2 linked regions of the Diceros bicornis minor genome follow. The protein of the gene in region 2 purifies or fractionates together with the protein of the main gene of each other region. This does not show direct contact. Links are inferred from orthologs where the notes say so. Each region holds a gene or a part of one and is shown on either strand. Other genes may lie near its edges. The genes, in order: HAX1 and CHEK1.

Evidence for each region.
Region 1: the proteins of CHEK1 (region 2) and HAX1 purify together in Homo sapiens (affinity purification with mass spectrometry; 3 studies listed by BioGRID and IntAct, with this or other methods). This does not show direct contact. The link is inferred for Diceros bicornis minor from reciprocal best matches to the Homo sapiens genes CHEK1 and HAX1.

Annotation. Positions count from the first base shown.
Region 1 is NC_080743.1:58,330,540-58,346,565, reverse strand, and holds HAX1 (HCLS1-associated protein X-1), read right to left. Parts: upstream 6,007-16,026; 5' UTR 5,963-6,006; coding exon 5,910-5,962; intron 5,374-5,909; coding exon 5,123-5,373; intron 4,946-5,122; coding exon 4,758-4,945; intron 4,035-4,757; coding exon 3,983-4,034; intron 3,836-3,982; coding exon 3,729-3,835; intron 3,601-3,728; coding exon 3,510-3,600; intron 3,366-3,509; coding exon 3,280-3,365; 3' UTR 3,107-3,279; downstream 1-3,106. Other genes in the region: UBAP2L (ubiquitin-associated protein 2-like), read right to left, coding at 7,891-7,986, 8,806-8,856, 9,268-9,465, 10,421-10,488, 15,551-15,656. UniProt on the Homo sapiens protein: Recruits the Arp2/3 complex to the cell cortex and regulates reorganization of the cortical actin cytoskeleton via its interaction with KCNC3 and the Arp2/3 complex. Slows down the rate of inactivation of KCNC3 channels. Promotes GNA13-mediated cell migration.
Region 2 is NC_080746.1:10,462,189-10,478,340, forward strand, and holds the start of CHEK1 (serine/threonine-protein kinase Chk1), read right to left. Parts: upstream 11,456-16,152; 5' UTR 11,436-11,455; coding exon 11,371-11,435; intron 10,543-11,370; coding exon 10,319-10,542; intron 8,880-10,318; coding exon 8,815-8,879; intron 8,731-8,814; coding exon 8,661-8,730; intron 5,205-8,660; coding exon 5,016-5,204; intron 4,589-5,015; coding exon 4,484-4,588; intron 2,643-4,483; coding exon 2,547-2,642; intron 1-2,546. UniProt on the Homo sapiens protein: Serine/threonine-protein kinase which is required for checkpoint-mediated cell cycle arrest and activation of DNA repair in response to the presence of DNA damage or unreplicated DNA.

The sequences.
Region 1 (16,026 bases), on a different chromosome or scaffold from region 2:
AGAGAGTAGAGAAAAGCAACAGGTTATATGATAAACCCAAGAACAGGAGAACCCCCAAATGCTCCTCGAGTATTCCCTGGAAAGTTCTGCAGGTCAATTTCAGAAGTGCTGAAACTGGCATGGATTTTACTCCTCCAATAGTGGGTGATTTCAAGAGGCCCACAGAAGACAGTCTGAAGGGGCTACCTGATGCACCTGGTCTACCTTCCAGAACAGGGTCCCACATTGAGGAGAAACTACTTGTCAACTTCTACAAAAAAAAAATTACTAGGATTTTGATAGGAATTGCATTAAATCTATAGATAAATTTGGATAGAATTGCTATCTTAAGTTTTCCAATTCATGAACATGGTATATCTCTCCTTTTATTTAGATTTTAATTATCTCAGCAATTTTTGTAGTTTTCAAAAATGTTCAGCTCTTGCACTTCTCTTGTCAGAATTAAGTATTTTATTCTTTATTATGCTATTATGAAGGGAATTGTTAATTTCATTTTCAGATTGTTTGTTGCCAATATGTAGAAAAACATTTTTTTGTTCTTTTTTTGTATATTGATCTTGTATCCTGAAACCTTGCTCTACTCAATTATTACTACAAGTAATTTTTTTTTGTTGATTCCTTAGGATTTTTTCCTACATACAAGGTCATGGCATCTGTAAACAGTTTTACTTCTTCCTTTCCATTCCATTTTCTGGCCTTATTGCACTATCTAGAACCTCCAATACAACGTAGGATAAGAGCAGATATCCTGGCTTTGTTCCTAATCTTAGTGGGAAAGCATCAGTCTTTCAGCATTAAATATGATGTTTGGTATAGGTTTTTATAGAAACCCCTTTTATAGATACCCCATTTCATGTCTAAAAATGTCTATTATACTCCTACATTTAATTCATAGTTTAATTGGGCATACAATTCTAGACTGGAAATAATTTTCCTTCAGTATTTTAAAAATAATTCTCCATTGTCTTTTAATTCCAGTGTTGCTGTTTAAGTTTGAGAACATTCTGATTCCTGATCCTCTGTATGTGATTTCTCTCTCTCGAATCACTTAGATTCTCTTTTGTCTCTAGTGTTCTGAAATTTTGTATGATGTGCCTTGGAGTGGATTTATTTTCATCCTTGATATCAAGCATGTAGTGAGTCCTTTCAGGTTACAAAGTAATATCCTTCACTTCTGGGCTATTTTCTTTACTTATTTCTTTGATAATTTATACTACCCTAATTTTCTTATCTTTTTTCCTTCTATTTTCTGTCTCTGTTATTTGGTCTACTGTTTTGGAGATTTCCTCAACTTTGGCATGCAGACCTTTTTATAGTTTTTCATTTCTGCCATCATATTTTTTTTAACTCCCCAAAGTTCATTCTTATTTTGTTAATTCCTCTTTTGTAGCATCCTGTTTTGGTTTTATGGGTATATCATCTCATATTTCTAAGGATATTAAAGATTTGTGTTCTTGCTAAATTTTCATCTTTCTGCATAGTCTCTGTTTCTTCCAAGTTGCTTCTTTTGTTTGTATGAGTCTCCATCCTTCATGTTGGATGCTGTCCACAGATGTCTGGTAATCTCTGGCTCCATTTGTGTTTATGATGGTACTCTAAAAAGCTGATTTTGTTGTTAGTACCACCAAGTCGATTCCAACTCCTAGTGACACTGCAGAGCGGAACCCTGCCTGGTCTTTTTGCACCAAGCTCTAACCTTCTGGCATTATATCAGACAATGCTTTGCTGCTATTCACAGGGTTTTTATGGCAAATTTTTTCATAAGTGGGTGGCCCGTTCCTTCTTCCTAGTCTGTCTTAGTCTGGAAGCTCCGCGGAAACCTGTCCACCATGGGTGACTCCACTGGTATTTGAAATACCTGTGGCATAGCTGTCAGCATCACACCACCACACAGTGGCCATAGTATGACAACTGACAGATGGGTGATGTAGTTCCCTGACCAGGAAACACTTGAGCCATGGTGGTGAGAGTGCTGAATCTTAACCACTAGACCCCCAGCACTGACTGTAAAAAGCTGACTAGAAATCTCAATTGTATTCTTATATACTATAGAAGTTAGTGGGGAAAAAAAAAAAAAAAGGTGGGAGGATTTGTTCTACTAAATACAACTATAGTATTTAAAAGTGTAATATGGGTTCAAAGATAGATAAATAGATTAACAGAAAAGAGTAGAAAGACCCAGCACAGGGACATACATGTATTTATATATATGTATGTGTGCACATATGTTAATATGTGTGTATATATGTGCATATGTGTATATATTTTTTCCCAAATGAAAAAAATGAAACTGGTCCCCTGATTCATACCATATAGGAAGATAAATTCCAGGTGGATTAAGAAAACTAAATGTAAAAGGCAAAACTGAAAAACTCATAGAGGGTAATAAAGGACAGCATCCTTTTAACCTTGGGTTTGGGGAGATTTCTAAAAGATATAAAGAGCACTAACCATAAAGGAAAAGATAAATTTGGCTACAATGAATCATCTTCTGTTCACCAAAAGATATAAAAAAGAGAATAAAAAGACAAAAGTTCATTACTATATCTCCTCTCCTTTGTTCTTGTGATATGCCTCTTTAGAAAAATCCCTTTATTGTTATTTTCGTGAGGTTTCCAGAGGAAACAGAGGTAAATAAATTTGTAAGACCTGCCGCTCTAAACCAGTGCTAAAAACTTTTTTAATGAGAAAAAGATCCAGTAATGTTTTTGCTAGTTATACTTTTTCTTACATAAAAAAATAAAAACATAGCCAATAAAGGAAGAAATATTTGCCCATATACTTCCTCAAATGATCTCATGAAGTATCCAATCATAGTGATCCCACATCTAGGGAAGCAGTTATCTCCCACACTTTCACACACTTCCTTTTTTTGTAATCTGATGCATCCCTGTCTATAAATTTTCCTGGAATTATCTCTAGTCATCTTATCTCCTCTGTAAAGAAAATCATTTTCTACTGGTACCTGACCCTTACTTATCAAACCAGGTTTTGAAAGTGGAAAGAAAAATTAAGACATAAGGAGAAAACTGTGGGCAGGATAATTTTGGAAGCCCTGGATGGTGCTAGAAAGTGGAACAGCCTTAACAAAACCAAGACTAAAGAATTAGCATAAATAAACGTTTTATTAGTCAGTTTGGGCAAGTGACATACTGACATACCCCCAATTCACTGTTCGACACACCCAAGCCCGGAGGTGGCAGAAGAGGCTAAGCCCATTGATGGTGAGCAAAGGGTGGAAGGTGGAAAGAACCTGAAGGTCTCTGAGGGTTAACAAGGCTACCGGGACCGGAACCAACGTCCTAGGAATAAATCCAGGATGGAAAAGGTATCATCCAGGGCTGGAGGTGTTGGTGCTTCTGGATCTAAGGAAGAAAGTGATACACTTTCTTGAAATGAAAAAGATTGGGCAGACGCAAAGGAGAAAAATAATATTAAAGAGTAGAAGAGGGTTTCTCTTCCCCAAGGAATTAAAAGATGGACCCCTTTCATTCACACTCTTCACTTACCATCTCTAGGACTGCCACCTGCTTCTTGACGAGTTACTGTGGTCTCTGTCCGACCTTCACTGTCCACCACAGTCCGGCGCTCCTCTACTGTCTACAAGGAGAAGCCCCCACCATATCCCTAACATCACTAAAGGTGAGTTCACTGGTTTCTTTACATAGATCCCTTTTTCCAGAGCATCCTCTGGCCACAGTTCCCTTTACTCCTCTCTCCCAACTCACCCCATCTGGCTTAGTGATCTTGGTCACAGAGACGCTCTTGAAATAGGATTTGGGCTGGGGCTGCAGAACTGGGCCAAGGCCCTCCTGGGAAACCTGGGAATCAAGATCTAGAAGGGCAGAGAGATGAAACAGGAAAGAAAGAGTCCAAAGGAAAGAAGGGGACAAGTGTGGCAGGAAGAAACCTCAGGGAGGAAAAATAGAGGGAACTTTGGGAGAACAGAGGTCTGGTGAACGTCCTCTCCCTCCAGACTCACCATTGTCCTCCCTGGCTCTAGAGTGGGGGGTCACGGGCCACATATCATCAAACTGCAGAAGAAGCCAAAGTAGATAAAATGACACTTTTCAATCTGAATCTTGAGGGATCAAAGTACCCAAATTATTCCCAAGTTCCAAAACTACCTTTTTTCAGGAGAGAGAATCCCATTCAGGATAGCTTTATTTACTCACCCCGCCTTCCTGCCTAGCTGCTTTATGTATTCTTCTACCAAAAAGACTTCCTGAACTGATACTTTTCTGTCCTCCCCCAACAATCCTGCCTTGTCACAGAACCATATAGACCAGGGTTTTGTTTTGTTTTTTTTAAGAAAAAACAGAACTCCCAGAGCCAGCCCGGTGGTGTAGTGGTTGAGTTCACGTGCTCCACTTCTGGCAGCCCAGGGTTTGCAGGCTCGGATTCCGGGTGTGGACCTACACATCGTTCATCAAGCCACACTGTGGCAGGTGTCCCACATAAAGTAGAGGAAGATGGGCACGGATGTTAGCCCCAGGCCAATCTTCCTCAGCAAAAAAGAGGAGGATTGGCAACCGGTGTTAGCTCAGGGCTAATCTTCCTCACACACACACACACAAAAACAGAACCCCCATTTTCCCCCAAAGAAAACCCTAAAAGAAGCTTAATATAGAAAATATACACTAAGTGGAGGGCCTAAGTTTCCAACTCAAGTCCATTCGATTCCAACAAGAATGCCAGTCTTTGCACTCCATTAGTTGTCTCCCACAGGCTCTCGCTTCAGACCCAGATGTACTCACCCTATGGAGAGGTCTCTGGGAGCCCCAGTCTGGTGCTGGTTTTGGGGATTCAGTTCTTATGTCACTCTCCAAGACCCCCCCAAAGATCCTGGGCTGGTGGCTATCTGGATACTTAAGCATTGAGTCTCGAAGCGTCTGTCCCTCCTGCTGTCTCTCACCAGGTGTCTCTGCTTCAGGACCTGGAAGTTCTGAAGAAAGGTGGCAGGTGGATGCTGGGGGTGGGAAAGGACTTGGGCTCTTTTAAACCTCCTTGAAATCATCAGTCTTCTCACACTTCCCATCCCCCAACTACTCTCTGCAGGCTCCTTATTTCAACCACCAACCCAGCAGAAACCAAAGGCTCTCCCTCAGGGGCAGCCACACACCAGGAGGGCGGGAAGGCAAGGTCCAGGCCCCCATCTCGCTGAAGATGTTATTGAAATCCCGTACTAGGTCATCAAAGCCGAAGTTATCATGGAACTGCATCCCTCCTCCTGGGCTGAAGCTGAAGCCGAAGCCAAATTCCTCCGGGGGCTGGGGACCCTCAAACCTCGAGCTTCCATGGCCCCACGTGGCTCCTTCTTCTTCCTCTTCCTCATCATCTTCATCTCGAGTCATCCCTCCAAAAAAGGGATCTCTGTAGTTGGGGTAGAGGCAGATTGGCCACCAAGATTTCAGAACTACTTAAACCATAAAATCAACTCACGGGTGGCAAAGTGGGATAAGAGTAGGGTTCTGGGGAGCTGAGGTGAGGTTTAGAGGACTGGCCATTGGGTATTGTTTTGTTTTGTCTTAGTTTTTATCAGTCAGTCCTCACCTCGCAGCTCCCCTAAACACCTCCCCTCGGCTTTTCTTCAGTGTCCCCCAGCCCCTCCCCTCTTTCCCAAGCTCCTGCTCACTTGCTCATTGTCGTCTTCCCCAGAGCCCCACTGTCTTCCCCGCCCGGGCCCTGCTGCATCACCCCAGATTGGAGAAAGGCTTAAGGTGCTGTTTCTCCTCCTCTTAACGACGCCTTGGCTACTGCTGCGGGGTGAGTGCTCAATGTTGTGACTTCCGTCCTCTCCGCAGGAGTTGAAGGAGTAGGGAAGAGGATGTTTTTCCAAAAATTGGGTGTTAGGGGTCAAGCTCCCCTCAGAAGACCACCCCCCTTGTCCGACCCGGACCCACTCTCACCTCCGAGGTCCCGAAAAGCCGAAAAACCCCCGAAAAATGTCAAAGAGGCTCATTCCCGTATTGGGACTCGAACCTTCGAACCGTACCAGAGGCCCATTCACACCTGGGGGCAGCCTACGCTTCGCTGTCGGAAACTGAGCGAAACGTCAGACCACGCTGCCGGAAAGCAAGCCTGCGAGCAGGACACTGTCGTAAAACGACCGTACGCTAGACGCCGGTAGGGGGCAGGCCGGACAGTCCTCTCAAATTCGAAAGGCTTTCCTTACCCCTGTTTACCTGTTTCCTGTGAGGGTAGTGGGCGGGGCAAATTTCTATTTCCCAGTGATCACCTGCCTCCTAAGCCGATTCTCCTGATTGGACCAACCCAGTCCAATAGTGTTTGGAGGGTTTGACGCTGGATGGTACCAGATAAAGGCACCAGGTGGCAGTCCATCCCCACAAATGAAGCGGTCCGAGACCTTCCCTCACCGCCGGCTCATCCACGGACTACCGGTCCTTCCGTCTGAAAGCCACCTCGCCCCTTTCCTCGGTCCTGCTGGTTTGACTGACCTAAGTATAACATTAGAGGGTTGGACAGCTGTTTTATCAAGCTCCTTCTAGTACTGCATTCCCCAGAATTGTGCAGAGATAAAGACACGGGGATGCAAGGACTTAACTTCCTCTCCAGCTACTAAGGAGTTTGTCCTAATTATGAAGGATTCTTTTGATTCTAGGCATGCTCTGCAACCAGCAGGATAACAGCTTTCTAAGAGAGCAAGGGAAATCTAGGGAAGGGTCTTGAAAGGGAAGAATTTGGGGCTATAATTATCCCCCTTTTCCCATCATTGATTTTCAAACCCTCCCCCCCTTGTACCCGCCACCCCCATCCCAACCCTGGCCTTGCTCTAGACTCTTCCTTTTTAAGGAGTTGGGTATAGCCATGTGAAATGAAAGCACTCAACAAGCAGGAACTGCTGTAGTCTACTAGGAGAAATGAGCCCCAAGCGTCAGTTTTGCCATCCAACAGTGTATGTTGCCTCCCATTCTTTCCAGTTCATTTGCCTGGACCCATCTAAATTATACTTGGACTACAAAGCCATTTCTTTCCGCTCCTTCTTAATCCTCTTGCTTTCCATCCAATATCCACTATCCCACTCCCTTCACTGCCTAAAATCTGCTGTAGATGTCGATTTCTGGAGGAAATGAAGATTTGTGGTGGTTCTTTCCAGGCACCAGGCTGTGCAAGTCTTAGGGGAGAACGGAAGGGAATCCCCTCAAGGGCAAGACAGTAGCACATTAGGGTCAGAGGAGTTCTTAAAGGGTGAAGATTTCATTTTATTCCACTGCCTTCGGGGCCTAGAGGCCCAGTTGGTACAGTAATACTTATTCACCAAGCTGGTCATCGACGAGACTGAGGATATCCTAGACAGAGTAAGAATGGGCAGAGGCTGAAGGTAAAGGTTTTTTTTTTATATATACAAGACACATTAATCCATTAAATTTGAGGACACAGTACAAAAAAAAAAAACACTTCAACTAATTCATCTGACAACGCTTTTCATATTCATGACGCCATTTTTTGTTGTTGTTGTTTTGTTTCCTAATAATAAAGGAGGAGACTTAGGGCTGTTGGGCTGATATATATTTGGGGGGGCCCCCTCCCCACCTCACCCATACACCACCAGGGTGAACAGGAGGAGAAGGAAGGGCAAGGCCCACAGCAAAGTTTCATAATCTTGAATGCAAGGGGGGAGGAGGAGAGGAAAGGACCAAAAAAAAAAAAAAAAAAAAAAGGAGAAAATACAAATCCTATAATACATACAACAGAGTGGGGATGGGATGGGAATGGGACAGACATGAAGCTGAGGCATGGGGTGGGCCGCTGGGGGTGGGGGGCAGCGGAACCCCCCCCACATTCCTTTCTCTCTTTGATGCTGTTTCCATAGTTGCCAGGCTGAGAAGCCCTCTCAGAAGATGGGACCGGGAGAAGAGGGTCAGGGCCTCAGTTGGCCCCCCAGCTGTAGCTGTTGTAGGCAGACTTGTTGGTCTGGGGCTTCTGCGGGATGGAGCTGGTCTGGCTACGTTGCCCGCTGCCCGTCTGCAGGGGAATGGGGAGGATGATGGGGAGGAAAAAGGTGTGTAGTTAGGACAAACTGTTATATCTTCAGGTGGAGATTTGGAAATTGCTCTCCCATCCCCCTTGCTTAGAAACGGCTCTGAAGCTTCTCAACAATAGAAAATTCGGTTTATATGGCTGCTAGAGCACCACTGATAAGAAAGCACTTTCTTTAGATAGGGGAAAGATGAAAAGAGGGCAAGATACCTTTAGAGACAAGACAGTGAATCAGTTCTATGCATTTTCAAATCCCCCTCACCCACCCCCACCTCCATCCTCCCCTGGTCTGAGAAAAGGCTACTCTCTACAGAGAATTATGGCCTCTTGGAGATGAGTGATCACAAGGTGATTTCATTTTCATTGATCCCCATGAATGTCTCAATTTGGAAAGCTGTCTTGGAGAGCAAGGAAGCTCTTATTCCAGCTCCCCAGCCACCTATGATGGAGCAGAGGTCGCTCACACCACCCCGTGGCTCCCCACCCCTATCACACATCACATCTGTGAGCCCATTTCAGGAGAGAGAGTCTGAGGCCCCAGGCTCCAGATGCTGCCCAAAGAATCCTTTCCATTCCGGTAACCAAGTGTTTCCAGAGTTAGGGAAGGGTAGAAAGAAAAAGAGGGCATTGAGGAGGGGAGGACAAGAGAGGAATGGGAGGCCAGAGAGCTCAGCAAGGTGTTGTGTTTGTGTATCCCGATTTGTGACCGTGCAGTCTTTTCTCTTCAAAGTCCCTAAGGCTGTGGAGGTGAAATGGGGACTGAAAAGGAGTGGGTTCAAGCATATCATCATTGAGTTTCATTACCTGCTCCTCCTGCTGGCGCTGGCAACAGAGAATCATCTGCAAATATGGTAGCTGAGGCAGAACCAGGATATATGGAAAATAAAGGGACAAACTTTGACAATAGAACTCCACCATTAGAAGGGAAAGCTATAATGTCAGGGAAGGGGGAAGGCTGGGAGAGGTAAGAGGGGAGGTGTGACCAAGGTCTAATGGGATGAGGACAACTGTGCTACGGGAGGTGGAGGAGAAAGGCAACAAAGGAATGGGGCAAAAAAAGGTTTCAATGGCCCCTCCTCTGACATCTCCTTTGCCGGCCACTTGTGTTATGTGCGCTTGTGTCTGTATGTGCTGTGTGCCCATGACTGGCGCTGGGGAGGACTGGGTGAAGGTGGTGGTGAGGAAGGGTAAGAAAAGGAGAGGGGAGGCAGTTTTAAGGGACAGGAAGGAAGAGGAAGGGAAAGGAGAGAGGGAAAGGGCTATTACCTGGCCATCCTGCTGCAGGTGATGGTGAAGGATCTGGGAGTGCGGCTGCTGATGGGGGGTCAGAATGTGCATAAAGGGGGCAGGTGGATAGGCAGCAGCTGTGGCCGGATTGATGGGCCCCCCACTTCCTAGGGCTGAAGGCAAGTTGAAGGAGGCAGCAGGAGTACCGGAATGAAAACCTTGTTTCTCAAAGGACTGCTATCCAGGAGGATGCGAGGAGAGAGAGTAAAAGGGATCAGCAAACTAATGCCTGGAATTTCGGAGCCCAAGCTCCCCCACCCTCAGGAAGCAGCACAGTGTCATGGAAACACTGCACCTGAAGTCAGATATTCCAGTCTCGGTCTCAGCTCTGCCCTTTAATAGCTGTGTGATCCTGAAAAAATTACTATCTCTCAGCCTCAGTTTTCTCATACATGAAAACAGGGATGCTACTGACCTCTCAGTTGTAAGGACCAAACGAGAAAATGGATGTGAAAGCACTTGGTAAAATCTAACGTCATATACGAACACAGTGAAATCTGCTGGCTACTCTTAGCACCCTTCCCCTAGAGCTGGGTAGAAATTAGAACTGCTTGGATATTTCAAAAGAAATGAATACACACTGAGGTATCTTGAGTATTAAAAGTCTTAGCCCTGAAGCACTCAACCGTAACTCCTAATACTTTATCAAAATTTTAATTATTTATGGTGGCAGGTGAAAAACAGCACAATACACATCTGTGGATAACTGAAATGCATCACTTTAGCTACTGGGTTGTCTCCTTTCCCACTCTTTGTTATCCCTTAGATACTTACAAAGAATGGAATAAACTAGTTTCCCTTCATTCGACACTCATTCTCTTGGAAAGTGATGAAAAAGTTGGGAGTGGGTAAGTAAAGGGCCCAGACAGCTGCACAGTAATTCACACAACATATTACAACAATTTGCCACATCTCACCTTCCTGTAACACTTCTCTTTTTGTCTTTTTCTAGAGAACTAAATTTAAACTTCTTCAAGAAACTGAAGTCTGAGACCATTCATTTTCTAGAAGGATGGGTTTCCTGACACCTCTCTTAGGCTTGGTTCTTGTTCACCGTACTTCTATTATTACAACTCTACCTCCTCTGTGTCCATCTGTCTTTTCCCACTTCTATCCAGAGCCAGGCACCTACCTGGGTTTTGGAGTACACAGAACCCGAGATATCTGGCACGCCCGTGTTACTGGAGGTGACTGATACACCTGGGGGAGGAGGAAACAGATAGGAGGATTAGCTCAGCTAGCTGCCTGGCCCCTATCCCTGGGAGGAGGTGATGTGTGCAGCCTTTCTAGCTATAGCACTGCAAGGGAATTTTGGTCTGTTTTCCCAGCTTCAGGTCAGTCCTGAGGGATAAGAGCTCATGAAACAAAGGCTACCTAAAGGTTCTCTTGCCGGGGGCCGGCCCAGTAGCATAGTGGTTAACTTTGCACACTCTACTTCAGTGGCCTAGGGTTCACAGTTCAGCTCCCAGGTGCGGACCTACGCACTGCTCATCAGGCCAGACTGTGGCAGCGTCCCACGTACAAATTAGAGGAAGATGGGCACAGATGTTAGCTCAGGGCCAATCTTCCTCACCACACACACACAAAAAAAACCCCAAAGGTTCTCTTGCTCTTTCCAGATGTGTACTGAGTATATGTGTGAGAGAGTGAGGTGAGTTTGTTCTTTTTTTTTTTGCCGGGGTGGGGGTGGGGGGGTGGGGCGGATTTAGCCAAACCTCACAAGCATACAGTTTTCAAAATACTTCTGTGCTAAAGCCCAACAGAATGTATTAAACTTTTAATGTCCATTTCAAATCAATCTGCCCAAACTCCACTCAGTCCTGCTCCTGAAGACAGGTAGTCTGGCTCTTTCTGTTTATGAAGAGACATCTGGGGGCTCAAAATCCATCCCTCCACAGCATAAGGTAAGTACTAGAGGAGCAGTCCAATTCAACCCTCAAGAGCACTTTTATTCTCAGAGCCTCATCTCACTTAGTCCAGCTTCTCCAGAGTCTTGGAGCTTCTAGGCTATATACTTATGATTTAAACAGCTGACACAAAGATGAGTTTCCATTTACATAATTTAAGTCTAAGCATGGGAAGGAGAAGGAGTAAAGAAGGTAGACAAGGGTAGGCTATCTCTACAGCATAGGTGGAATACAAAATCCAAATGTCATTCTAGTTTACAATTCAGCTTCTCCATGAGATAAAAGCTCTAATCCATACTCCAACAACTTGCATGTTTCCTGTTGATAAAGTCCCTACTACCACTACAACTTTAAGGAAACCAGAGTAGTACAATTCCTCATTTTAATTTGTACTTCTTAAACTGAAATAAACATACTGTACCTCCTGGGATATGGGGCAGTGGGTCAAGGAGATAGGAAAAAGCCATCAGGTAAAATAATCCAGCATCTTACTAGAGAAATCTTATGCAAAGATTTGAGGAAAAGTAACTCAAATTTAACTAGGAATTTAAAGCATGCTTTTTAAAGATATTAGTTCTCATGAAGTGAGATAAAATGAAACTTCAGAAAAACTTCGCATTTCAGTCTATGTCCTTGGATCCTTCTCTTCTGCTGTTAGGAACACTACAATGGAAGAGTTCTTTAGAAACTCTGTACTAAAGTAACCAAATCACAAATGAGGAATTCTCCATTCACCCACAATTCAACAGCAATCCCCCTTCAAACTCTACAACCCAAATCCTCCGAATGTCTAGGACAAAGGCAGCCTTCAAAAGTTAAGCCCACCTTGGACAGCCACTTTAGAATCTTCCCAATAGAAGTGGCATCTTAACCTGGAAACCCCTCCCACATCACAAGTCCAGATAGTTCCAGGGAGGAGCAAACACCAACTAGGAAAAAGAACAGAACTACAGAAAGCAAGCATGATAAAATACTTCCCCATCTCCAAACTATCAACTCTCTATACTTTAAAGGCACTGAAGTACAAAGAAGTGGACAATACAGGAGCTAATGGGGTATTTTTTCCCCTTCCCTTTTCAAACCCCAGGTGCCCATCTGGCAAATCACTGGTAATACGCATAACTTTAAGAACAGGAGTTCATTTATGGAAAAGGCTAAACTAATGAGGTTTTTGTGGAAGGGTTGAGAGTAAGATGGAATACACAGGATATAAACAGAACATTTTTGAGGGAAACCAGGAGACAGTGATTGATCTTTACTGCAAAGGCTCAAACAGCTTGCTGACACCTCTTGGTCATCCCATACAGGATGGGAGAAATGGCTAACTGGATTCTCAAGCTGGGTGGTAGAGAGGAATTTAGTTCTGATGTGCCCCTATCTGGTCTCATTTCTTTCCAGAGGCTAGACTAGCTAAAAACTAGCGTCTAAGTCTCGAAGCCTTAATTTGGATATGGGTTGAAGGGACTGGAAATGCAGGAAAAAAGAGAATACTCTGTGTAGTAGGTGTAATAGATAACCTCACTGGAGAGCCTAGAAAATAATGGGTCTTGGTTTTCCTACCTTTCAGCAGTTATTAGACAGCTCCTCAGATTACAGAGTTCTCTTGCCTTCCTTCCAACAGTCAGCACCCTGTCTATCCCTCACTCCCAAGCAGTGATGCTCATACTAACCATGATGTGGACAGCAGGGAGGAGAAATAAGAACCCATCTCTCCCAGCATGGCAGCCGCTGGGAAAGTTGGTCACACTCACAGGATAAAATTACTCCAGAGGGCTGGGAACAAATACAAAGAAAGTGGAATGCCTGGGTTTCCAATTAACCAAGGACAGTGTTCTCACTGTCTCACCATTCCTACTGTCTTACAGTTAACACTGTAAACAAAGGGCTGATGGTGTACTAGTGGGATTGAGTGGGGATAAGAATTTCCATAGTCAAGGAGATGTCTAACCAAACCTCTCCCACACATTCTTAGCTACACCTACAAGTACAAAATGACTAGTAATCCACAATCCCTGAAAAGCCATCAAAAGACTAAGAACAATGTTCCAGGCTAGCACAGTTTCCACAGCCTGCATCATCAACTAGCTGGTCACTAAAGACTTTATCAGATCTCAATCAGCCACTTGGCCTTGGGGAACAAGATATGGGAATTAAGCCTTGGAAGATACTTCCCTGACAACAGCTCTAAACATCATCTCTTCTGCCTTTCACCAGACATGACACTCAATAAACTTTTTTGTCCTTTCTCCTCTGCTTATGTCAGAGGCAAGGGGAAGATCTAAATGGAAAAGTGAAGAGCTATAATAAGCATGGAGAATCAGGGATTTTCTACAAATAGCTTTCTTTACCAACCAATCAACAGGCTGGAAACGGAGACTGTTTCCCCTCCCCCACCTTAATAAAATCACCTTACTGAAAAGTTAACAGTTCTTTGACTATGCTGGGGTTTGACTGAAAAGGCCACCCTCCACCCTTCATCCACAGCACAACATTGGCTCCTAGTGTCCAGAAAGACATGCACGGAAAGAACGCCAGAGTTAGCTAAAGAAATACCACAGTTTATTGAAGACTACAAATATTTTTGTTACAAGTTGAAACTACATGCCTTCCAGAAATCAAAAGCAACAGCAGGTGTGTGCATTGATGCTTCGGAGGTGCTGCACCGCTTGAACTTGAAATGGGTAAGACAGGGTCAGACACATGGGGGAGAGGGAAATGGGGGAAGGGCAAGTTCAAAAGCCCAGAAGATATCCACCAACTCATTTCCCCAAGCCACGCAGGCCATGGCCTCAGCTCAGCAGGCTCTCCTCAGTGGTCTGGTTTCTGAAACAAGACTTCAGTGCAAATTTATACACACACACAAAACATAGCCCCCAGCCTTGGGCCAAATTAGCTCTCTGCCGTCCAGAAATGCTTGTAAGGGGGTGGATATTTTCTTCCTAAAAGGAATCAAATACATAAAAATAAATGAATTTAGAGGTTGATGAGGAATGGGATAACAAGAGCCCTCTGCGGGATTGGGAACTGGGGGTTCTCAAAGGGCTGTTATACCAGGTTTCTGAAATCTTAAGGGAGGTAAGAAGCTAGGATTTCCAGAATCAGGTATGCCATTCTCTTATATTATCCATAACCTACCTCTTAAAATTCTTGAACCTGGTCTAGCTAAGATTTAATCTAATATTCTCAGAATGGGGCCACTCCAAGTCAAAAAGCTTATAATCCTCCCCACTAAGAATTAGGGTGGATCTTGCTCAATGAGCCACAAGGAGTCTAGGTATTAAATCTCAATGGGGTGTCTCAGGATTTCTTTAGCTGAAATCCTGACCCACTCTAAGTCATACAGCACAGTTCAAAGCTCCACGTGGCTGTTAGTTCCCAGACCTGTGGCTCTCTGTGCTCAGCTCAGTTTCCCAATTATTGAAAACCTTGGGCGATATACCCACCTGGAGCCCACACTAGGGTGAAGAATACAGGTGCAGCTCCATCCAAACCACCAGGAAACCAGAACAGCTGAGAATTTTGAAGGATAACCCTCAACCCCAAGCCCTAGCAATTGCAACCTCCTCCTCCCCCCATATTCATCTGCAAGTCACTGAAAAAAGTAGACGGAATTGTTTTATTCAAAGACTCTTTCTTACTCCTTGTCCTCCACAAATAGAGAGTAGGTGTCAGATATGGGAGGCAAAGGAGAGGCTAAGTATCTTTTAGGTCAGTACCATTCAGAGGATTCCTACATTCCCCTCCCTACCATCAATGTGCAAATGGACTTTTGCAAAGAGACCAGCCATACAAATTAAGGAACCGAAATGTCCAACTCTCCCAGCCCAACTCTCACTCTGTTGAGTACTCATGCCTTACTCCTTTCTCTCCACATCTTAGGTCTTCTAGCTAGGGAGTAAAAAGGGGCCACGTAAGAAACATAGTGCTACAAAATTATTTAAGCCAAACCTACTATGGCATGCTAGCTAAGAACCCACTTAACCCTCCTATTCAGTAAATACATTCACCTTTATACTATCAGCACCTTATATATTAACGCTTGCCTCCATTGACATCTCAGTAAAATCTTGGGGCTCCTTGCCCTGCTTCCCACCCAGTTTAGGCTGGCCAACGTATTCTAATAACCAACATGTGCCCCAGGGCATTCCCATCAAGAGTAGGGGATACATGTTCTAGTATCAAGCTCCTCTGTTGTTGCTGCTCAGACAGACACTCAAGTCAGTCAAACATTAACAATCAAACATGAAGCATCAGCACACCCTCACCAACCCTATTTTCTCAAGCACCAAGTCTTCCTCTCTGAAACTCATTTAACAACATCCTACAGACACCACTGACAGCCAAGGTGAGCTTACCAGTGTTGTATCCGTGAGACCCATATCCACTTGGCTGTTGGAAAGGGGTGGCCGATGCATTCACACTGACATTCACACCATGCTGCTTGGAAGAGGTAGGAGCCACCTGAAGAGCAAAAAGGCCAGAACTGCAGTGAAACAGTAGCAGGGTACAATTCACCCCACCCGTCCTACTCCAGGGATCGGGCATTCAGATGGCTACCCATCCTGATGTAGGCTGACCACAGCTTGCTTAGTGAAATGGCCTCCCTACTGAGCCTTCTAAAATCTACCAGTGAGGTCAAGAAATGGTAGTTTGGAGGAAGGGAAAGGGGCAGTGGTAGCAGGGAATGAATGACACTCTAAGGGAATCAAAGCTGCATGGTATCACATTATCCCTTTAGCTAATTCTAAGAACAGGTAATCCCTATCCCCATACCACCAATTCCAGCCCCACTCCCTCTCCCAAGCCCGAAACAGGCCAGAGGTGGAAATTA
Region 2 (16,152 bases):
CCACTCCCAGATCAAAGGGTACAAAGGTGTGGGAGAGAAAACATCTACCACTTGAGAGGAAGCAGTGTCCTCAGGGGTGAGTTGAATTTCAATTAGAACGAGGTGAAAGGTAAAAGAAACATTCAGAGAAGAGTTAAAAATTCCTCATTCTCCCGCTGTCCTCTCCTCCCACTCACAGCCAAACTTCTTGAATGAGCTACCTATACTCTGCTTCTTCACCTCTCTTTTAGACTACAATCACTATACTCTAGAATTTACTCCCAACTCTCCACCAAAACTGTTCCTGCCAAGATCATGAATAACTGCCATATCACGGAATCCACTGGACAAATTTTGAGGCTTCATGTTATTAATTCACTTAACAGTATCTGCCACTGTCATGCATTTTCTTCTCTTAGCCTCAATTACTCCACATTCTCTGACGTTCCTCCCACCTCTCTGGCTACTTTTCTGTTTCCCTGGCCCCCACCTACCACTTAAATGTTGGCATTCCTTAAAATTTCATACACTCAATTTCGTCTACCATCATAGTTTACATTACCATCTATCTGCAGAAAACACCTGAACTGACATCTCAAGCCTCACACACACATACACATAAATACCTACTGGACAGTTTTACTTAACTTCTCAAATTCAACATGCCCAAAATCAAATAAAATTTTCCCCCAAATCTGTTTTTCCTCCTGAGTTACATCCCAGTAAATGGTATCACCATTTATACAGTTGTTCAAACCAGAAAGGAGTCATCATTGATTCCTCATTCTCCTTCATTTTCTACATATAAACAATCATCAGTCCTATCAACTATCAATTCTAGTTCTTAAATTTCTTTGGAATATCTCTCTTCTTTCCAATCCCACTGTCACCAACCTAGTCCAAGCTACCATCTTCTCATGTCTAGGATCAAAAACAACTTTTAAAAAAAGTAGCCAGAAAGATCTTTTAAAACCAAATATATGATCATGTCATTTCCTTGCTTAAAAGCTCTCAAAGGTTTCCCCAATGCCCTTGAGCTAAAGCCCAAAATCCTTAACATGGCTTACAAGGTCCTCCTCCACTACTTGATCACTACCTACCTCTCTGGCCTCATCTCAAACATCTCTCCCTTCTCTCTTCACTCCTTTACTCAACAAACATCTACTGAGTGCCTACAATGCACCATATACTGTGCTAACCACTAGTGATACAATGAACAAGCCAGACACAGTCCATGCCATAGTGGCCTTCTTTCAAATTCCTCAAATGCACCACTTTCTAAACCCCAAGACATTCCAAATGCTGCTTCCTCTGTTCAGAATCTGCTACTCATCTTGCTAGCACTCATCTGGCTAGCTCCTCTTTAATCTTCAAACCTTAGATTTAATATGATTTCCTCAGGAAGACAAGTTTTCTCCGTCACTTAAGACTTGGTCAAACACTTAGCTATAGTACCCTGACTTTCCACTTTATAATTATTAATAAATGTAAAATTATTTTTATGTTTGTTTTTCCTACTAGTCATTATAAGCTCCATGAGGACAGAGACCACAGCTATCTTGTACTGTTGACTTGTGATACTGACTTTGCAAGTACCTTTTCTTTCACAGAAAAATATACTTGTTTTTTAGGCAAACGAAACCAGGATCAAAATGAATAGGCAACCCACCGGTTGGGAAAAAATACTTGCAAACCATATATCTGACAAGGGATTAATCTCCATAATATATAAAGAACTCACACAACTGAACAATTAAAAAACAAACAACTTGATCAAAAAATGGGCAGAGGAAATAAACAGACACTTCTCCAAAGCAGATATACAGATGGCCAATAGGTATATGAAACGTCACTAATCATCAGGGAAATGCAAATCAAAACCACACTAAGATATCATCTTACGCCTGTTAGGATGAATATAATCACCAAGACAAAAAACAACAAACGCTGGAGAGGCTGTGGAGAAACGGGAACCCTAATTCACTGCTGGTGGGAGTGCAAAGTGGCACAGCCTCTATGGAAAACAGTATGGAAATTCCTCAAAAAATTAAAAATAGAAATACCTTATCATCCAGCTATCCCACTACTGGGTATCTAGCCAACAAACCTGAAACCAACAATCCAAAGAGGCTTTTGCACCCCTATGTTCATCATAGCATTATTCACTATAGCCAAGATGTGGAAGCAACCCAAGTGTCCCTCAACTGATAAGTGGATAAAGAAGCTGTGGTATATATATAGAATGGAATACTACTCAGCCATAAAAAAAAGACAAAATCATCCCATTTGCAATAACATGGATGGACCTGGAGGGTATTATGTTAAGCGAAATAAGCCAGAAAGAGAAAGACAAACACCACATGATTTCACTCATACGTGGAAGATAAACCAACACACAGACAGAGAGAACTGTTTGGTGGTTACCAGGCCTAGTGGGGTGAGGAGGTGGGCAAAAGGGGTGAAGGGATGCATTTATATGATGACTAACAAACAATAATGTATAACAAAAATTTCACAATAAAGAAAAAGAAAAAGAAAAAAAAATACTTGTATTTTAAGGATATTACCTTTCTTGAGTGGTTTGTTGTACCATCTATCTTTTTTGATGTCAGGGATGGTAATCCTTACTGACGGATTCTCAACTAGGATTTTATGCAGTAGAGCTGAAAACAAAACATTAAGACAACATTTACAAAAGAGTCATGCACATTAGAAAAGCCTATAGCCTGTGGTATGGAACACATTCTCTATTGGTCTCCTTACAACCGAATATTATTTCTAGGGAAGAGAAAAATAAAGCTACTGAAGTATTGCTTTAATTTCATGCAGTTTTTCTTTGCTACTGTCTATATCTTAGAATATTCTTCCCAGATCTGATTCTCAGTTGTCTGCAACTAAGAAGAACAAGAGCCAGGTGGAAATGCTTCCCCCCATGTGATAACATTAACAAAAAAATACAAAAACCCCCTTATCCATTTTCAGTACCCAACTTCATTGGTCCAATATGTCATGTTAAATCCTCATTCACACAGTTTTATAAGGACAATCTACTTTCCAAAAACTTTTTCTTTTGGTGAGGAAGATTGACCCTGAGCTAACATCCGTGCCAATCTTCCTCTATTTTGTATGTGGGATGCCGCCACAGCATGGCTTGATGAGCAGTGTGTAGGTCCGCGCCCAGGATCCAAACGCTTGAAGCCTGGGCTGCCAAAGTGGAGTGTGCAAACTTAACCACTACACCACCAGGCCAGCCTCTACTTTCCAAAAACTTTGAAAGAGACAGTCATATAAGCAACCATCATCCTAAAGTATCTTAATTATCTTGACAAAAAATTCATACATCTCCCACTACCAAAATCATTTTCTAATGGACCAAAGATTTAAATGAAAAAATGGAGCCATGAAAACATAGGGAATTTTTTTCTAATATTAGGGATAGAAAAGACCTTTCCAAACATGACCATATAGTGAGAAACCACAAAGGACAAGATAATAGATTTGAATAAATAAAAATATAAAACTTTTGCATGTCAAAATAGCATAAACAAAATAAAAGTACATAAATGGTGAAAAATATTTCTAACAAATGTGAAGATCTAATGACATTAATGTTTAAAAAAAAAAACTCACACAGTAATAAAACCTCCCTGTCAAAAATGAGCAAAATAGACAATCTACAAAAATAGACAAAAAGCCAATAAATATATAATGGATATACAACCTCATTGGCACTAAATTTAAAATAAAAATAAAAAACAGTGAATGTATTTTTTAAAGGCCTATTAGAAAATTAGTCAAATATTTTTTTAAAAATATAAACCAATGAGATGGTGATAAAATGGTACAAACTTTCTGGGAAGCAATATGGCAAAGTAAACCACAATAATTAAAAACTATATACATCCTTGACCCTGTAGTTCCACTTCTGGGGATTTTTTTAATTAAACAATTTAAAGGTATGTGCATTACATGGATGATCATCATTATCTCTTTCATAACAGTGAAAAATCAGAAAAAGTCTAAATCTCTAAAAAAGTGAACGGGATGAGTATAGTAAGGCATATCCACACAGCAGAATACTATCATAGCCTTTAAAAACAATGATGTAGACCTGCAATTATAGTTATGGAAAAATGTCCACAAAGCATTAACATAAAAAAACAGGTTACAAAATAGCATGTGTAATGTGATCTCATCTTTTGTCAAAACACACATACTTATAACTAATATACATATATAACAAACATATATTAAATATTTTTACAACAATGTCTAGAAGCACATATCAAAATATTAAAAGAAGCTATTTCTGAATGCTGGGATTATAGGGTTGGTTTTTTAAAAATTTTTATTTATTATGTTCTAATTTATCTACAAGGATCATGGATTATTTACATGATTATTTAAAAATTAAAAAGAAAAAAAAATGTAAGAAAAAAATTCAAAAGGCAGTAGGCTTCATTATCCAAGAAATCAGTACTTTCAATCAAGATAACCCAGTTACCTAGAGGAACAGAATCGATTTTTTTCCAAGGGTTGAGGTATGTTTTTTTTTCTTTCCAATCAGAATATTCTTGACAACTGTCACTGGGCTGGTCCCATGGCAATTCTAAGAAAGAAATAAGTCCCAGTTATCTGAGTGCTCGCATCGTTATACAGTAAAGATTTTAAGGGAAAATAATCAATTACACAAATCCATTAAAAGTTTCCTCAAAATTAATTCAATATGGTTTTCAAACCAAAAATGCAACTCACAAAAATTTCAGAGGCACTTCAAAGATGGATGAATCACTTCCTGCCCTACTCTTTCCAAAAGTATTCACATGAATCTTAAAAGAGATAGCTATTGTGTTACCTCATTTATCAGCTATACATACCTGATTTTTAAAAACTTTTGGGGTTAAAAGTTCCAACTTAGTTATAAATAAGTTACTATCACATAAATATGGATTCCCTTGGTTTATTTCATTCATTTTGGTCTAACACATTTGGCTTTCCATAAGACAGGAGTTTTATCATGATTAAACAGCTGTTACCTCCAGCCAACATCGCAGTAAGTACTATTCCACAGGACCAAACATCAACCGGTTCTGCATGAAATTCTTTCCTCTTTAGAAGTTCTGGAGCAACATAAGGTAAAGTACCACACATCTTGTTCAATAAACGTTCACGATTATTATGCCGAAACACTGTCGCCAAGCCAAAGTCAGAGATTTTGAGGTTATCTAAACCAAAGGAAAAAAGAATAGCACCGGATAAAAATGTTTTGTATATAGATATACCTAAAGGAATTAAGTTTTATTGGAAAATCCCTGTTGTTACTTAAGGTTCATAGAACTTCTCTACCTTAAAATGACCAAAAAGAAATTTTAAAAAACAACAAATAAAAGACATCATCATCTAGCTATAACTAGAAAAAGGCCTCATTGCTTCTATCAACTTAAGAGAAATACCATCAACACACAAAACAATATGGACCACGTTAAAGAAAGATACTGCCTTCTGGAAAAGTGCATTCCAGACTTAGGCTGAAAGCAGAGCTGAGCCTTTCATCAGATTGTGCAGAGGGCAGAAAGGAAACATCAACAATATACTAGGCACAACTTTCTCAGAAGCAAACAAACCCAGCTGGCAGGATGGTCTTTCTTTTTTTTGGAGTTTTTTTCCATGTTTGTATCTCTAAACAATATATTTTACATATTTTTGACCTTCATAAAAATAGATTCATACTTGTATGAATTCTTCTGCAACTTTTTTTGCTCTATATCATTATATTCCTAAAATTCATCCATGTCATTACTTGTAGCTATAAATCATCCATTTCATAATTTATCTGTTCTATTGTTGATAGACATTTGAGTTGTTTCCAGTTTTTTGCTATTATAAACACCACTGCTGTATATATGCATAATGTTTTATTTTTTAAACCAGGTGGGTACACAGGTGTTTATTATATTTTAATTTATTATATTATGTATTATACATTTTATATAAATTTTTGTGGGCCTGAATTTTTTTTAAGTTTTAAATAAAAGTAAAGGTTTTTATGCTATACAAATACAATGTAAAAGGGTAAAAAGTAGGGGCTGGCCCAGTGGCATAGTGGTTAAGTTTGCATGCTCTGCTTCAGTGGTCGGGGTTTGCAGGTTCAGATCCCCGGCGCAGACCTATGCACCATTCATCAAATCACGCTGTGGCAGGCGTCCCACATAAAATAGAGGAAGATGGGCACAGATGTTAGCTCAGGGCTAATCTTCCTCACCAAAAAAAGAAAAAGGGTAAAAAGTAAAGTCCATATGCACATAAGAAAAAAGCATATATTCTATGATCTAACTTACATTACGTTTTACACATATCTCCACTTGGGTTGTGAGGATAAAGAAGAGAGATATCATATCTCACAACCCAAGTAGATTCTCTTACTCTGCCCATTTTATAGATGAAGAAAGTGAGGCAGAGAGAAGTTAAGCAATTTACCCCAAGGCCACACACCTATTACAAGGTGGCCTAGATTAAACCTAGGTTCAAAGGACTCTAAAGCTTAAGCTCTTAATACTATGGTATACCACCTCTCATATTTAAAGATACATTCAATCCTTCTTTTCCAGAGGGTTTTATGTAGCTTGAAACCTGTATTTAATCAAAAAAGGACTTAATTTGTAGATGAGGAAGGGGAAGAACTAACTGTAATACCATCAAGGCTATTAACATTCAAAAAGTAATGGAAATAGAATGAAAAATGGAAGCGAAAGAAATTTTCCCAGCTGTGCTCTCATTTCTCAGGATTCATCAACAGACCATTCTACAGTTCCTTTTTTCCCACACAAATTTTCTGAATATCTAAAATTTTGCTACGTGCCTTATGAAAGGCCAACTTACAGTAGGTTAAACAACCAAGGGAGGATCTTAGGTAGCTAGGTTAGCAGATGGGTTAATAAAAGGGTATCTAAAAGATATTCATCAAAACATTAACAGTGATTATAACTGATTGGTGAGCTTCTGGTGATTTTTTACTTTCTTCTTTATACTTTTGCTCTTACTTCATGATTATCTTTTATCTTTATGAAGGGAAAAAAACCAATACTTTAAGTTTGGGAACAAAGTTCTCATATTCCAGATATTATTACATACTCACATCTCCATTTTTTAGTAAATAAAGTGGCTTCTCTTAATTTATCCCCTCATATGAAGGTGAATTATAGAGTTCAGGAAGAGGTTAGGAGGCTGATAAGAAAGTACAGTTACCTGTCATGGTGAACAATGCTGCCAGAAACACTAAACCTCAGGGTTAGACAAAATCTTAAAAGTACTTTGGTCCAACTAGCCAAGCAACGTTTAAATTCCCCTTACCATATCCCTGATGATAATAATCCAGTGTTTGACTCTCATGTTATAAACTCACTATATTCTAAAGCAACCTATTAAGTTTCTGGACAGATCCATTAATGGGGGTCATCCCTGTACTACCTTCCACATAGTTTTCACCCACATATTCTGAAGAACTGTATTCAACAGGTAGCAAGTTTCCACCGAGTTCCTTCAGTTATTCCTTATTTTACATAGTTTGTGGCCCTTTCATCATTCTAGTCAGTCTCCTATAAAAGTACTTCAGTGGTCTACGTGCCTTTTACACTATTGTCCCAGGACACCCATTATTTCCGGTGTGGCCTCACTGAAGAAGTGTTGGACTGCCATCTTCCTCATTCTCAATAACATCAACTTAAGTTTCCTAATGACCAAATTACACTGGGAACTAATATGAAGTTTGCTGCCAGCTAAGTCTTTTTTAACCTGCTTTGCTGCCAAAGATATGCCACTCAACTATACTTACTTGGTTAGTTTTTTCCATCCAAATACTGGACTTTAGATTTTTCTCTGTTGGAGAACAACTTGTTAAATCTGACCCATCTCTCTGGTCTGCTAAACTCATTCATTCAATAAATATTCTTGAAAGCCTATTTGCCAGGCTCTATTCTAATGCATTAAATAAAGCATTAAACAAAACAGACAAAAGTCACTGCCTCTTGCAGCTGACATTTCTGTCATCTCTCTTTTTTTTTCCCCCCAAAAGCCCCAGTAGATAGTTGTATGTCATAGCTGCACATCCTTCTAGTTGCTGTATGTGGGACACGGCCTCAGCATGGCCGGAGAAGCGGTGCGTCAGTGCGTGCCCGGGATCCGAACCTGGGCCACCAGCAGCGGAGCGCGCGCGCACTTAACCGTTAAGCCACAGGGCCGGCCCTCTGTCATCTTTTTGGATTCTGATTCTATAAGCTAACACTTTCACTAGCCATCCCTCTCAGTTTTTATGGCATCCATAAAATATATCTAAACTCTTTTCATCCAAATCATAGATTAAAAAGAACAAACAGGGGCACAAAGCTAAGGTCCAGGGTATTCCAATAGAAACTTCCCTTTATTAATTTATTAAAGAGTTGTTTAAGACTATTCATATAGTTATTCATATAGTGAGCTACCCTTGCATCTAGGTCAGATTTCTGTTTCATCCACAACTATATCATGAAAGACTCATAAAGTCTAAATATACTGAGTCTCTCAAATTTCCTAGACTTTTCTTTGGATTTTTTGCCCTGAAATTTCAATAACACAAAAGCCTTGATCCTGCGTTGTACAGCTATATTAAAATAACTTAGGTGGCAGTGACAAAATGCTCAACTTACCCCTTTCATCCAATAGGAGATTTTCTGGCTTAATATCCCTGTGAGTTATTCCAATACCATGCAAATAAACCTAGGAGGGAAGCATACCAAAGTTCAGTAACTTACTTCAGTCACACTAATTTTAAGCAAAAGGAAAAGAGACAACTGTACCTACCACCCCTGCCATGAGTTGATGGAAGAACCTCTGAGCATCTTGTTCAGGCATGCCTATGTCTGGCTCTATAGGAATTAATTATGAAAGTTAGTTTACCAGGTAAATATAATCAGGCATCAACCACAAAGTCTCCTAATGCTAAGGTTAGACATTTGTGATTGTACTGTAGCAACAGAATCTTATGCTAACAGTTAAAGACTCTGGAGTTCACCAACTCATATAGTACTTAATAGCTCACATTTTCCCATCTGTTCGTGGCAAAAATAAATTAACATCACAGGAAAATTACAGAGACCAAAAACTATCATCCAAATCAAGAATGCAAGCCATACCTTGAAAGCCCCTGCTCATCTTACACTAACCATGATCTATATGGTATCCTTCAAATTCTCCTCTAATTTCTTCTAAATGCTATAACAATATTTCTCCTACCTCTGAAATGTAATTGCCAAAGTGTAAGCCTGGGCAAATCTAAGCTAATTTCACTAAATAATTAACAAAAGATTTAAATTTCATATACTCTCTCACTACTACAAAGCTGTGAATGTCTGTGAAGTTCCTTCAGGAAATACAGTTTTATTAAGAAATGTTCTATTGTCAGTTATCTTTTTGTACTTTGATCTCCCTCATTAACTTTTTTTTAAACGTTTTATTTTTTATTATTTTTTTCCCCCAAAGTCCCAGTAGATAGTTGTATGTCATAGCTGCACATTCCTGTAGCTGCTACATGTGGGACGCAGCCCCAGCATGGCCAGAGAAGTGGCGCATCGGTGCGCGCCCAGGATCCGAACCTGGGCCGCCAGCAGCAGAGCGCACACACTTAACTGCCAAGCCACGGGGCCGGCCTCCCTCATTAACTCTTGATTTTTTCTACACTCAACTCTCTCCTGAGATACATATTGGAGATTCTAATAATCAGTTTTTAACTGTTAATACAATAGCTTTAAATAATCAATTTAGATTCACAGAATATAATTTATGTATTCCTCAGTGTTCTGTAATATAAAGCCTTTGAATCTACATAGAATATTTAGGTGGCAAACACAGACATTACTTAATATATATAAAGCAATCCTAGAACATTCTCAATTATTTCATTTAAATAAATAAAGAAGAAATATAACAACATGCTATTATTTATTATTTTGTATCTGTAAATGTATGCAATGATTTTATGTAACTAGAATGTCTACAAAGAAAAAAACTGTCTAGGCAAACAATAGATTGCAATTATAATACTTCACCATGAGATTAGTTTATCATTCTTAAACTCTACAAAACAGCAATCTCAACCAAAATCACATATACAACTTGGGAAAAAAAGTTTTCTTTGATGACTCTATATATGCTTTCATGTGTTAACATAAGTTGCTAAAACAAGAAAATTTACTCCAATTTCATTATTGCATAAGCAATTGGACAATGATCAAATAGCAGACCCAAGATTCAAAACCAAATTTAGAAATTCGTTTAGTAGAATAAGTATCTTAAATCTTTTCCATACCTATTCTATCAAAAAGTTCTCCCCCACTGCAGTACTCCAGAAATAGATACTGGATATTGCCTTCTCTCCTGTGACCATAGAATTTCACTACATTCTCATGATTTAACATTTTATTGATACAGATCTCTTTCTTAATATTTTCTGGACAGTCTATGGCACGCTTCATGTCTACTATCTTCACTGCAACTGCTTCTTCAGTTCTTCTATTCACAGCAAGTTGAACTCTAAAAAGGAAAAGGAAGACATTTGAATTCTTTCTTTTAAAACTTCAAAAGATTAAACATGACTCATCCAACTATTTTACCTTTATTACTTTCTCTACAAAGGAGAAACCAAGGAAACAGTTTCTGCCATGTTCTCAACAGATACTACTCCTTTCTGACATGTAAGGTATGATAGTTAATGTCCCAAGGAAGTCATTATGCTATACATCCAAAAGTCATTTAATAAACGCTTGATAAAATAAATTAAAATGGGATAACAGCAATTGTATGCCACATCACATATATGCATACACTATTCATTTAATTTTAATAACATTACCTAACATATATCAATCCGACACTACATACACCTGTGTTAACTGTTCTAAGCATCTATGCGGTAGGTACTACTATTGCCATCTCACAGCTGAGGAAACAGAGGCACACAACCGCATTAAGAAGCTTGCCCAAGAAAACAAAACAATGACCAGTATGTGACAGAGTGAGGGTTCGAAACCAGTCTGACTCCAGTGTCTGTTCATTTGCTCACTTAACCACTATGCTTAAACCCCAGGAAGGGATATGTGGGAAGAGAAACTGACTTTAGAAGTCTCTTCCAGCTCTTTACAAACACTGTTGGAAAAAAGCAAGAAAAAAATTAATTCTTACAAAAGATTGTGCAGCTTCAGTTCCCAAAAGTCTTGGATTTCAAATGCAAAGATCTGTTCGCTAAGGCACCACTGTATTAGAATAAACAACTCCAAAACAATGAATATGTATGTACTCAAACAAGACAACAGAGAGAAAACTAAACAAGCGTGAAGGCAGGGTAAGCGGACTCAAACTCACTCTCCATAGGCACCTTCTCCCAGGGTTTGCACCAAGTCCCAGTCTTCCACAAAGGGCACTGCCATGACTCCACTACGAACCACGGCTGCAAAAGGTAGGAACCCAGAAATGATGGGGATGAGAAGAAGCCTCAATTATCTGTAAAGCCACTGAGCTCTGGCTCTTGCCATGATTCCTCAATATAAATAATAGCTCTTGGTTTCCCCTTACACCTCATCCACATTTTATCCAAGTCTTTTAACCACAAGCAAGTATGTATTCTAAATTCTGGCACTTTGTTGTGTTAATCACAATCCGCATTCCCACGCAACCCGACGGCTGAAACTCCGCCTTCCTCAGGCCTCAGAAGAAATTTAATAGTTCTGTTGAGGAGCTGGGGTACAAATGCTTTACGGTGGATGACTGGGGAAGAGGGTGAAAGAGGTGGGGTTTGGGTGGGAGAGTAAGAGGATGCGGCCTCATGGGGGCGGAAATAATAACTACGACCCCTGCAGCCCCTCCTCTCCACTTGCTCAGTCCCAATACCCACTCTCACCCCGTCCCAAAGGCCGGGAGGAGCCGGGGCGGGGCCAAACTGCCCCAAGAAGCGGAAGGGCTGGGTGGCAGACGGACGGCCGGGGCCCAAACCCCTGGGGTTCTCAGCCAGCAGAGAGTTGGTCTCTCCAGTCCCTCTACAATGGGGACCCCCAGTACTCCTCCACCCTCCGAAACCGCCCTCCGTGGGAGTCTCTCCGATCCCCTTCGCCTGTCCCCGGTAACATTCTCTCGCCGTGCCCCTCCTAACTAATGTGGACCCCGAACTCCTTCTCCAAACTGGTTACCCACCCTACCGACCGCCTCTCCTCACCCTCGTCCTTTGCCTGCCACCACAGGAATCCAAATACGGCGCTTTTCCCGCCAAAACTTGCTCGCGTCACACGGTCGCAAACGTGCGCACCCTTGCCGTAAAGCAGGAAAGCGCGCGTTCCCGTGACCGCTGCCGTAAGAGTGGCCGCTTCAGGTGGCGGGCGCCGGGAGGTTACCCCCAGGTTTAAGCAGGCCGGGCCTTGGGTTACTTTGGAGTCGAGGCAAGGTCCTGGCTGAAGAGATTTAAGAACTGCCCGCCGCATCAGTGCGCATGATCTCTGGGCCCAGACGCGAAGTGGTCTCCGGTGTGGGACCTCGGCCAGGCGGCCCTCACGCTCCTGGGCGGAGCCGAAGCCCCTCCGGAGATGTGCCTTGACACAGCGGGCGGCGCGGTCCTCGCGTTCGCGCCCCCTGTGTTCTGGACCTGGCGGGCGGGCGGGATACGTGCCTACACCGACCAGCTCGGGAGCTCCGAGCACCTCGCCCGGCTGCTGGCAGGATTGTGAGGATCACATGCAATGACTGTTGCCTCTCTATGTAACTTTAAAGTGCGCTACAGAAAAAACGAGAGCGGAGAAGCTAAGAGCTGCTGTTGTAATTGATCTTTTGAAGAGTGAAAGGAACTTTGTGGTGGGAGCCAGAAGCATCAAAAAAGACTGGCCACAGAGGAATGAGGGTGGGAACGCGCCCGGATGAAGAAAGCTATTTATTTGTAGTTTGAGGTCATGTCAGGATAACCAATCTTATCATGTCTGAACTGGCTCCAAAACAAGACCTTAGCCCAACCTTCGTAAAGTAGGAGCATCTGCATAGCTTAGTTCTACTCGCTTTTTCATTCTTAATGTGTAAGATACAGGCAGGTAGAAGCAAAAAGGCGTTTCGCCTCATTTTACAATGCCAATGTTAAAAGTAACCAGTTTAAATGGGAAAGTAAATTCAGGGAAAGGGGACTTGTTTGAGCACAAAATAATGTGGAAAAACTGAAATAGGTATACCCCCTTGACAGTAAACTAGACTGGGAACTCAAAACGCAGGCAAGATCATCTCCATTCAATTCTCCAGTTCTTAAAACTGGGCCACATACGTTGAGCATAACTTGCTCTTGCCTGTGATACTGGTAATAGAGTAAGTGTAAAATATATTACACAAAATTGCATACATGTGTCTTAAAGTAGCAAAGTCAGGGCTAAAAAAAACAAGACCAGAACATTTCAAAATGCTTACGCAAGAAGTTTTTAACCATGACATCACAGTTTAGGCTTCATATAATAAAGTTTTCGAAGTCATTTACTCCATTTTCTGTAGTTTCTGCACTGTGTGCTGCAAACAAAGAATATGAAGAGAGAGGAGGATCTGTACAGTTCCTATGTGTCTGGATAGAATTAAGGTATTTTAGCCTGAAAGAAATCAGTATACAGGATTCAGGCAGAATACTACTGCAAGATAGCATGTGGGAGAATGAACGAATGCACACAGTAGCCTCTATTCTCTTCTGAAACTTTACTAAAATAGTAAATTTTAATAGTAAATATTAAAATAACAAAATAGTAAAATTTACTATTTTAAAATAATAGTAAATTTTTAAAAGGCAATAACCCACAAGAATAGAGTATGAAAAAAAACCTTTTGGAAAGTGGCAAGTCTTTAGATGAAAGGTAACTTAGATGAAAGAAAGACGAATCCTAACGCCAGCAATGAGAAAGCAGAAAAGCAACATGATTTGCATCCCAGAACTCCCAAAGGCTCAAGTAGAATTATCAACACCAGGTAACTGAATGTGGAGGTGAACATGGGGCTAAAAAGAGGGTAGGTTGAAAGACTATGTAAGAAGCAAATAAACCCTTGGATCCTCTCTGTCCTCTGTATACCCAAAGAACTGCCCCTCCCTGAAACAGACACAAGACTTGAGAGGGTAACACGTGGTATCTGAACTGGACAGCATCAGGCATAGCTAAAGGCTGTTGAAAACAAAGGGATCAAGTTTAAGTTTATGCACTGAAAGTAGAACCTCTGAGCCTTTTTTCCCCCACTTTACTCCCAGAAATCTGGCAACTTGGCTTGTATCCTTAAGAGGATATACATGCCTTCTCCAGGGAATCTTATCTATATAAAAGAAAAGATCAAAAGATACCAATATCCGGACTTCCTAACAACTCAGATCACAGGAGAGGGAAGCCCACATTCAATAAGCCCCACCCCACCCCAAAGAGCCCTTACAATCAACTTTTTAGGGTCCCACTCTTCAAAAAGGGCAGACAACCAAGAATTTGAAAAGGCCTTTAATAGGAAAAATGTCAAAACAAAGGAATATTCAAACAAAAAACCTCTTGGACATTTAAAAAATATGATAGCAGAAAAAAAGGAAACTAAATAGATATGTTAGAAAAAAAAGTTTAGGAAATCTCCCAGAAGGAAGAGTAAAGATGGAAAACAGAAGGGTAAATATAAGAATATTGAAAGACTAATCCAGGAAGTCCAACATCCAAATAACTTATTTTTCAGAAAAAGAAAGGGAGTTGAGGGAATCCACAAATAACTCAAGAAAATTTCCCTTAACTGAAGATCTTGATTTTCTATACTTAAAAGTTTAAAGTACCCAGCACAATGGATGACCCACTCCAAGACACATCATTAGGAAAATTTCAAAACATTACATACAAAGAGAAGATCCTAAGAGGTCTGGGGTGGGAATGAGAGGGAATGGCCACATACAAAAAAATTAAGAATCAGAATAGCATTGCATTTCTCAACATGTAGAAAATAGAAAATAATGGGCCAATGCCTTTAAAATAATTCTAAGGAAAACTTCTTCCCAACCTGCAACTCTACCTAGCCCACCTCTCAATTAAATGTCACAAGAAACATGCAAGATCTCAAGAAATTTATCTCCCACAGGCTTTCTCAAGAAGGTACTTAGAGGTGATAAATCAAAGAAATCAGAGGATTAACACACACAAAATGACAGTGAAAGAACACACCAACCCAAGAAGTGTGTAATCTAGAGTAAACCAATCCAAACTGGGACATACCAAAACAGAAGACATCTCTAAGAATGAGTTATCTAATAAGTCTGAACACATTAAAAGGATTAGTTGGGGGCCGGCCCCATGGCTTAGCGGTTAAGTGCGTGCGCTCTGCTGCTGGCAGCCCGGGTTCAGATCCCGGGTGCGCACCGACGCACGGCTTCTCTGGCCATGCTGAGGCCGCGTCCCACATACAGCAACTAGAAGGATGTGCAACTATGACGTACAGCTATCTACTGGGGCTTTGGGGGGAAAATAAATAAATAAATAAATAAGAAGATTACCTTTAAAAAAAAATAAAATAAATAAAAGGATTAGTTGGCACAAATGAAGGAGAGTTTGGGGAGAAATTAGTGACAAGTACAAAAAAAAAAATGAAAAATCTCCCTCCGAAAAAAAGTTATGCAGAGAAAAAATAGTAACAGTATACCACATGGTCTAGTTGTGAAAAGCCATAAGGTAAAACCTATGGAGCTAACCTAAATCATAACTATAATAGAAGCTTAAAGATGGTAAGAACAAGTGTGGCCATGGGAACAGCAGGATGGGGAAAAAGAGCTAAATCCTCCATTTCCACACCAGAAAGTCAACCTAAAATTGAAAAACCAACACATACCAAAATAAAGCAAATTATTTAATGATATGGAGGTAAGTAATGTGAGAATCAGCAGAGTTGAAATTCATTGCCTCTAGGGGGTGCAAAACAGTGTTGTTGCTTTTTAGAATTATTTTATTATTTTTACACTAAGAGCACTATAACAATGAAAAAAGAAACGTAAATTTTTTAAAAAGATAGCTTCATGTAGCCTAGAAAGGTAACAAAATTAAAATCGTAAGAGCAACAACTATAGTGATAAATGAAAGAGTTATCCCATATATACTATAGATGAAGATCACTAATGATCTCTAACTG